Solanum lycopersicum: one gene and its partner. Each later gene encodes a partner of the first gene's protein in a complex. Links are inferred from orthologs where the notes say so. Each region holds a gene or a part of one and is shown on either strand. Other genes may lie near its edges.

The links.
Region 2: protein STABILIZED1 (region 1) and zinc finger protein ZOP1 share a complex: the UniProt entries of both Arabidopsis thaliana proteins name them as parts of the pre-mRNA splicing complex. The link is inferred for Solanum lycopersicum from reciprocal best matches to the Arabidopsis thaliana genes EMB2770 and AT1G49590.

Annotation. Positions count from the first base shown.
Region 1 is NC_090806.1:65,043,877-65,048,444, forward strand, and holds the start of protein STABILIZED1, read left to right. Parts: upstream 1-1,546; 5' UTR 1,547-1,779; coding exon 1,780-4,568. UniProt on the Arabidopsis thaliana protein: Pre-mRNA splicing factor required for splicing and for the turnover of unstable transcripts. May be a U5 snRNP-associated protein involved in the formation of U4/U6-U5 tri-snRNP. Involved in responses to abiotic stresses.
Region 2 is NC_090800.1:91,825,047-91,829,476, forward strand, and holds the start of zinc finger protein ZOP1, read left to right. Parts: upstream 1-1,462; 5' UTR 1,463-1,749; coding exon 1,750-1,758; intron 1,759-2,767; coding exon 2,768-2,968; intron 2,969-3,645; coding exon 3,646-3,769; intron 3,770-4,430. Other genes in the region: protein ANTAGONIST OF LIKE HETEROCHROMATIN PROTEIN 1, read right to left, coding at 1-1,008. UniProt on the Arabidopsis thaliana protein: Nucleic acid-binding protein that promotes Pol IV-dependent small interfering RNA (siRNA) accumulation, DNA methylation and transcriptional silencing.

The DNA of each region.
Region 1 (4,568 bases):
CCATTTCGAGGGACGTATCGCGCACCGCGATGGATACTATATTTCGAGGGACGTATCGCGCGCCGTGATGGTTACTATATCGAGGGTCGTGTCGTGCGCCGCGACAGATGCATGGACAGATATGTCCCCCATGGGTCCCCGACTGAGAGACATCGGGTGTGTATCACTAGGTCAGACATGCATCATTATACTTGACATTGCATTCCATTTCATTGCATATACTTATCATTAGTGAATTTGATATCGTGTTTTGCTGATCTTCTGATTGCCTTTCTGCGGAACTTGTGATTGATCAATATTGAGCTTGTTATTGCGGATATGTAATTTGTTAAAGTGTTGTTGTTGAGGATATTTAACTTGTCTAACTGTTGTTATTGAGCTACGTGCTATGTAAATTGTGAGCTGTTACGTTGGGTTGATTTTAATGCAGGTTGTAGTTGTGGAGGTTCGGTTGGGGGTGGTAGGAGTACCCGTATTTCATCCCCTTAGCCTGTGTTTAGAGGTTTACTTGCTGAGTACCGTGTGGTTTGGTGTTCACCCCTTGTTTCTACAATTTTTTTTTTTAGGTTACTAGCCCGGACTTTGTGATATTTCTCTTCTCCTTGTCTGAGGTTTCTTGGAGATTTGAGAGGTAGCTGTTTGTCGCCTCAGCGTACTTTCTTTCTCCTTAGTTATGATCTTGTTTTATTCTAGAAACAAGTTCATTTGAGATTAGCGTTGCTTTTGAATCAATTGTAATACTTTAGAGGCTTGTACACGTGACAACCAGGTTTTGGGGTATAATGTAAGTTGATAGTAAATTTTTCACATTTTTATTGTAATAGTTGAATTTTAGGCTTACTTGTCTTGGTGGGATAAGACGAGTGCCATCACGTCCATTTTTGGGTCGTGACAGTTGATTTCGAGTTTATATAATTAGCCAAATTTGTATATTAACAATTATTTGTTTGATTTGTATTTGTATATGGCGATGATTTTCTTTGATTTTCCAGTTTTATCACCATATGCATTCAGTTTTTTTCTTTTTTATCACTTTTTAAAAATTTTAAAACATGTAGTTTTTCGGACTTTATATAATATAATTATAAAATGTAACTTGTGTAATATAATTTGTGTAAAATTCATATGTATATATATATGTATCAATTCGTTATTGTGAGTTTTTATCAGATTTGTATTGTTTCAGACTTTGTATTACTCAATTGTATAAAAACACATGAATTATGCAAACAAGTTACGAATTTTAAAAATTATTGTCCTCTCTCGCTTGCCTCTCTTCTTCCTTGCCAAATTTCGCTCGCAAAATATACAAATACATATGTATACCAGTTACATATATACATTATCTAATCGATATACATATATAATTCACCCCTCTCCCACTCTCTGTGCTCTCTCGCTCGCCTCTCTCTTTTCTCTTCCAATCTCGCTCGCCTCTCTCCTTTCTCTTTCAATCTCGCTCGCCTCTCTCCTTTCTCTTCCAATCTCTCTCGTCACTCTCATTCATATAACATATAGATTTAAGATATATTTAAATGACTATATGCAAAAAATTTCTTTCTTAATTATATAAATTGAACTCAAATAAAATATATTTAATTTTTTTTTACCATAATTAAATTAAGACTCAAATATCTAAACAAAAAAAATAAAATTGTGTAACGCCTAAATATTTTAGTACACTACAGAAATGAATTCGTACCGATTTGCCTGATCCAGAAAAAGGTGAAATTGTTGTGTTTATTCAGCTGTCAACGATTTGCTCAACAACGAACAGTCATGGTGTTCATCAATCTTCCGAATCACAAAACCCTAACCCTAGAAATTAATCCTTTTGTAACTTCTCTTCAAACCCTAACCCTAGCAATCCATCAAAAGTTCCATATTCCAATCACTCAACAACGACTCTACTCATCCTGCCGGCGTCTCCTCGATGTGGAAGCACTGTTATCCGATCTAGGGATTTCCCCTAATTCCACTCTAACTCTACACGTTCCTCTTTTCGGAGGTATGCAAGCACCCGGGGCACCGAAAGCCCGGCTTGAATTTCTTAACACGAGACCTCCTCCGAATTATGTTGCTGGGTTGGGTCGTGGTGCTACCGGTTTCACGACCCGTTCTGATATTGGTCCGGCTCGTGCTGCTCCTGACCTCCCTGATCGGTCAGCTGTTGGGGGTGCACCGGCGACTGGAGTTGGACGTGGACGTGGAAAGGGTGCTGGAGAGGAAGACGAAGAGGAGGATGCGGAGGAGAAAGGGTATGATGAGAATCAGAAATTTGATGAATTTGAAGGAAATGATGTGGGGTTGTTTGCGTCTGCTGAGTATGATGAAGATGATAAAGAAGCTGATGCGATTTGGGAATCTATTGATCAGAGGATGGATTCTAGGAGGAAAGATAGGAGAGAAGCTAGGTTAAAGCAAGAAATTGAAAAGTATAGAGCTTCGAATCCGAAGATTACTGAACAGTTTGCTGATTTGAAGAGGAAATTGTATACATTGTCAAGTGATGAGTGGGATAGTATACCTGAAATAGGGGATTATTCGTTACGAAACAAGAAGAAGAGGTTTGAGAGTTTTGTGCCTGTACCTGATACTCTTTTGGAGAAGGCTAGGCAGGAAAAAGAGCACGTAACTGCATTGGATCCGAGGAGCAGGATGGTTGGTGGCATGGAGACGCCCTCTTCACAGACGCCAGTTGCAGATTTGACTGCTGTGGGTGAAGGGAGAGGAACTGTGTTGTCAGTGAGGTTGGATAGGATTTTGGATTCTGTTACTGGGCAAACCGTCGTGGATCCTAAGGGATACTTGACTGATTTGAAGAGTATGAAAATTACTAGTGATGCTGAGATTTCCGATATAAAGAAGGCTAGATTGTTGCTTAAGTCGGTTACTCAGACCAATCCAAAGCATCCTCCTGGTTGGATAGCAGCTGCTAGACTGGAGGAGGTTGCTGGGAAGATGCAGGTAGCAAGACAGTTGATAAAGAAAGGGTGTGAAGAGTGTCCTAAGAATGAGGATGTTTGGTTGGAGGCATGCCGTTTGGCGAGCCCCCTTGAGGCTAAGGCAGTGATTGCTCAAGGTGTTAAAGCAAATCCCAATTCAGTCAAGTTGTGGATGCAGGCTTCAAAGTTGGAGGATGATACAGCAAACAAGAGCCGTGTGTTGAGGAAAGGTCTAGAGCATATCCCTGATTCAGTGAGGTTGTGGAAAGCTGTTGTGGAGCTGGCCAATGAAGAAGATGCTAGACTTTTGCTACAGAGGGCTGTGGAATGCTGTCCATTGCATGTGGAGCTGTGGCTTGCTCTTGCCAAGTTGGAGACTTATGAAAATGCTAAGAAAGTACTTAACAAGGCTAGAGAAAAGCTGCCTAAAGAGCCTGCCATCTGGATCACTGCAGCTAGGCTTGAAGAGGCTGATGGGAATACTGCTTCAGTTGGGAAAATTATTGAAAGGGCAATAAGGGCTTTGCAGAGAGAAGGTTTGGAGATTGACAGGGAGGCTTGGATGAAGGAGGCTGAAGGATGTGAGAGAGCTGGTTCTCTTGGGACTTGCCAAGCTATAATAAACAACACTGTTGGGGTTGGTGTTGAGGAAGAAGATAGGAAGAGGACCTGGGTTGCTGATGCTGAGGAGTGCAAGAAAAGGGGTTCTATTGAAACAGCGAAATACATTTATGCACATGCTCTTACTGTATTTAGAACTAAGAAAAGCATCTGGCTTAAAGCTGCACAGCTCGAGAAAAGTCATGGCACGAGGGAATCACTTGATGCAGTGCTTCGAAAAGCAGTTACCTACATTCCAAAGGCTGAGGTTCTATGGTTGATGGGTGCCAAAGAGAAGTGGCTTGCTGGTGATGTTCCTGCTGCTCGAGCAATTCTGGAGGAAGCATTTGCTGCAATTCCTGATTCCGAGGAGATATGGCTTGCTGCTTTCAAGCTCGAGTTTGAGAACTGTGAGACAGAGAGGGCAAGGAAGCTTCTTGCTAAGGCACGTGAAAGGGGAGGCTTGGAGCGGGTTTGGATGAAGTCAGTCATTGTGGAGAGAGAACTTGGAAATGTGGATGAGGAGAGGAGATTACTGGATGAAGCATTGAGGCGCTTCCCCTCATTTTTCAAACTTTGGTTGATGCTGGGACAGTTGGAAGAAAGACTTGGTAATTCTAACAAGGCGAAGGATGCATTTGAATCTGGCATTAAGAATTGCCCCAATTGTATACCCCTTTGGCTATCCCTTGCCTCTCTAGAGGAGAAAATGAATGGGCTAAGCAAAGCTCGAGCAGTTCTTACTATGGCCAGGAAGAGGAATCCTCAAAACCCTGAGTTATGGCTTGCAGCTGTGCGGGCTGAAGCTAGGCATGGCTACAAAAGGGAAGCTGATGTTATGATGGCTAAAGCATTGCAGGAGTGCCCCAACAGTGGCATTCTTTGGGCTGCTTCAATTGAAATGGCGCCTCGACCTCAAAGAAAAACCAAGAGCTCTGACGCTTTAAAGAAGTGTGATCATGATCCTCATGTTATTGCTGCTGTAGCTAAGCTCTTTTGGCAGGAGAGGAAAGTAGATAAAGC
Region 2 (4,430 bases), on another chromosome or scaffold:
AGTCAGCAAAAACGACAACAATGGAAAACACCAATCCCCAACAATGTATGGCCTCACATGTTCTCCTCTAACATTAACCCCTTTGTCCCAAACAATATCACCAGAAATCAACCTATTATACAAAAGACTGTCTCTAAAATGCGTTGCATCATCAAATCCACCTGGGGCTTTCACACAAACATCCCAAAAGATCTTCTTGTGATCAGCAACAACCTGAAGCAATACGGATGGGAACCCATATCGGCTATAGTACATAGACGAGTTTACGGTTTCCGACGGAAGATGCTGCAACCTCACGGCCGTTCCATCAATAGCTCCACATATATTGGGGAGTGAAGTCAGTTCTTGAAACCCCTGAGTGGTCTCCACAAGACGCCGTCGACTCACCGGAATCTTGATAAACTCCGGGTAAAGCTTAGTAGCCAAGAGGCGGGTGACCATGTTAGTAATTTTCGAGATCAGGTAAGGTTCAAGACCATAACGGGTAGCTAGGTTTTTAGCAGAATAGCCGTGGAAGAGTCTAGAAAGTACCATAGCAACGGCGTAATCAGAAGGTAGAGAGAGTTGAGACTGGGTAATGTAGGGTTTCAGCTTATCAACAACTGTGGTGAAAACGGGATACGATAGTCCGTAAAGGGAACGCCACTGAGCGTCACGGAGAGGAGCTTCCATAGCCCAAATATGTTCAGTGGAGAGGGCACGAAAAGCAGAGACGGAGAATTCGGCGGCTGCCGGCGATGGTGAAGAGGGGTTGTTGTTAGGTGAAGAAGTTGAAGTTTTAGGTTTTTTCTTGTGTGGGTGAGTAGCGAGATAGGAGAGAACGGATGCGATGGTGAAGAAGAGGAGAGGTGCGGCGGAGGTGGAGGTGAGGAGGGAAGTAGGGGAGGTGGGTGAAGCGACGGAGGAAGAGTAGGATGATGTGGAATCGGAGAGAAGAGAGGTGGTGGGGTCAAGGTGGTTGTGGAGGTGAAGAAGATTTGTTAGCATCAGCAGAAAAGATTGATCCATTGTTAACAGAGAAGGAGATTGAAGGTCCACTTTGCCGGAGAAGACCGACAGGGTTTTGCAGCCACCGGCGGCAATGTCAATCAAGCCAATTCATATTTGACGACGAGTGGGTGGGAGTGGGGGCGGGGGTGGAAGAACTTACAGCAGAAGAGCAAATAAGTCCACGTAGTTTCGCAAATGTTGCAAACAAGCCCATACTTGTTCGTTTTGATAAACCGAATTTTTCTTTTTTACTTATTATATTTTTGATTAATTAATTAACAAAGATTAATTAATCATTTTCGTATAAATTTACTATGACATATCAATTTAAAAATAAATATAATTAAGAATTATATTTTTTTATTTAAAGTTTATTCGATGAGCATAAAATATTTCCAGAAAAATAAAAATAATGACGAAGATTATAATAGCTGCGGGTTATTTTGGGTTCCAAAAAGAATTTATTTAGATTGTGAAGGTCGATTAAATTTTATATCTAAAGATTCTATGTTTTATATAACACTGAATCTCCTTTTTCTTCAGCACTAACTAAACAAACAAATATCTCAAAGCGGATCGGGTGGGCCCGAATCCGAGTTCTTTTTTATTTATTTTTTGTTCCTCAATTTGGTTCTACTTCTTTGATTCAAAATTAGGGTTTAGAAGAAAAGGCCGTTGATTTTGAATAGGAAACAGATTTGAGCTTGAGAATCGCCGTCTTCTCCTTTCATTCAATCCATTCGTGTATCTGTTGCAGCCATGACTGAGGTATCGCTCTGCTAATCTTCCATTTTTTTGGCTAGCAACTTCAAAAAATGACTTTTCCCCCCCTTTATTTCTACTTGGGAATTCCTGCTAATTCTAACTAGACTAGATGTTAGGAATGGGTTATTTGTGGTTACTTTTATGTACTCCTGATTGATGATCAACTGTTTCAATTTTTGATCACTTGTGAGATGGGCTCAATTTGGTAAAATGATTCAAATTTGTGAGTTGGTAATCTTTAGTTGAGCGACAGATCAAATAATGTGAAACCCTCTTTCAAAGAACATAGACCACTGTTGAATTGATGTAGAGTTTATGATTTCAATTTGAAGTTCTATCACATGATGATTATCTTTCTCTGGGGTTGCTTATCGTGCTTCCTTCTTCATGCTTATTTCATTGTACATTTGCTAAGTGTAATGTGTTTATGTATCTGTCTTCATGTCTCATATCATCTATATTGTCTAGATTTCCATTTCACGGGTTCTTTGAGTTGTGCTGGATAAGTATGATTGGTGATAGAGTAGGATTTCGGATTAATTTGCAGGGTCATGATCTTTCAACTTTCTTATATTGTAGAAATCAAATGCAATATTCATATTTTTTTGTGGATGTGTGGTGGTGGAGGGATTTTTAAAAATTAGCTGTTAGTGTAGTTTCTGGTATTCAGATTTAGCTATGAACATTTGGAAGTTAAATACCTACAACAATTTCATTCCATCCATTACAAAGTCTTTTGATTCTTCAATCATCTTTTAGTTGGATTTGCTTTTGTTTTTGATTTAGTGCTGCTCTACCTTTTTATTACTGTAATAGAATTTCCAGCCTTCTGTCATTGTATTTTGCATATTTCTTGTTTCCTCAACCTGTTACTTTTCTGTATACAGATTCTTCGTCCTTTCCCTCCGATTTCTGATTACAGAACCCAAGATAATTATACTGATGTTTACTTTCTTGTGATGAACTTACAATTTTATAAATATGCCTGTTTCATGTTTTTCTCATTGTACAGTTTTGGGTTAGCCAAGGAAATAAATGGTGTGATTTCTGCAAAATCTTCATATCGAACAATCCTACGAGCATTAGGAACCATGAACTTGGTACGCGCCACAAGGAAAGTGTGGGCAATAGGCTTAACACAATGCGACAAGAGAAAGCTACAAAAGATAAAGAGTTAAAAGAAGCAGCCCGTGCTCTGGAGCAAATTGAAGCGGTAAGTTCTATTGTATTGGTATTTATGTTCATATATAAGTTCACACATTTATGACGAGTTACTTCAATTCTCTGATGACAACCGATAGTATCTGTGGCTTAATATTATGATGTTAGTATTTACCATCCTAAAGAAATTAAAACGGTTATGAAGGGTTTGTAATATATGTGTGTAAATCTGTTGATGTTTCTGTTTGTAATTACATTTAAGTTCTAAAATACTTACCTTACTAAAAGATTATCTGTTTTGAAAAATTATTAAGTCAAATTTCTCCCAAGTACCATTACTGCAATTCCTCCTCCATCAGGTGTGATATGCTGAGCAGCTTTGGAGATTAGTGTAATTTCATTTACTAGAGAAAATGTCTTTGCTGGCTATTCTTCTTTAATTGTCTAATTTGCAGGTTATATAGCTGCTCAAAATATGCTGTTGTACCAACTTATTTTATCCTAACTTCCTAAGATATCTCAGAGTGCAACACTTAACATGATCTTATTACATAGGTTCTCTTAAACTTCCACGAATAGAATTATTAATTTTTTTTTTTTTTTTTACATAATTTCATCCATCGTCTTTTTGACTTGTTTTATAGTTTAAAGAAGAAATGGATTAAATGATGGTGACTGTGAATGAACAAAAATGTTATTGCTTAATTATGTCTTTTTTTTATTGACCAGAAAGCTCAACGCAGCTATGATAAGGACATGGCTCGAGTAAAAGAAGCCAGAAGTACCAATATACAGGCCCTGGCTACTCATGATAATGGTCAAGCGACTACCAAGGGATCTGCTGTATCAGAAGGTGTTCAATTTCTTTGCTGTCCTGTGACATTATACCTTTTACTATTTGGTTATAATTGTGTGGACTCTGATTAGAAACATTGTCTTTCAATTTGTTTTAAATAGAGTTCTTTTTCCGAACAAAAGGAGTTGGTTATAAACTAGAGATATCTCATGAGTGCTTATAGTTTGTATTCATTTGTCAATTTTGAGATAAAAACTTTTACCAAGTTAAATTGAATATGAGTTAAACTATCATTTGACAATATCTCAGTTCTCCCACTTAATTATCTGGATTGCAGATATTTTAGGTTATACAAGTCTTTTAACTTTCATATGCAAAGAAAACGATTTCTTCCATTTCGTTTATCGTTTTATCTTCTTGTTATTACTGCTTTCTTTTCATCTCTTCTTGGCCCAAGCTCCATCGGAAACCTCCCTACCCTCACAAGGTAGGGTAAGGTCTGAGTACACTCTACTCTCCCTAGGCCCCACCTGTGGGATTATACTAGGGATGTTGTTGTTTGTTGTTGTTGTGTACAAAGAAATAATTTCTGGCATTGGTTATTTAATTCTTGTCGTTTGGTTTTTGGTTTTGCATCTACTGCTTGTTCTTTGCAATTCCTTCGTGACTAACTTGGTTAAAGAAATATCGCAATTTGTGGTGTCTAGAGGATACCTTG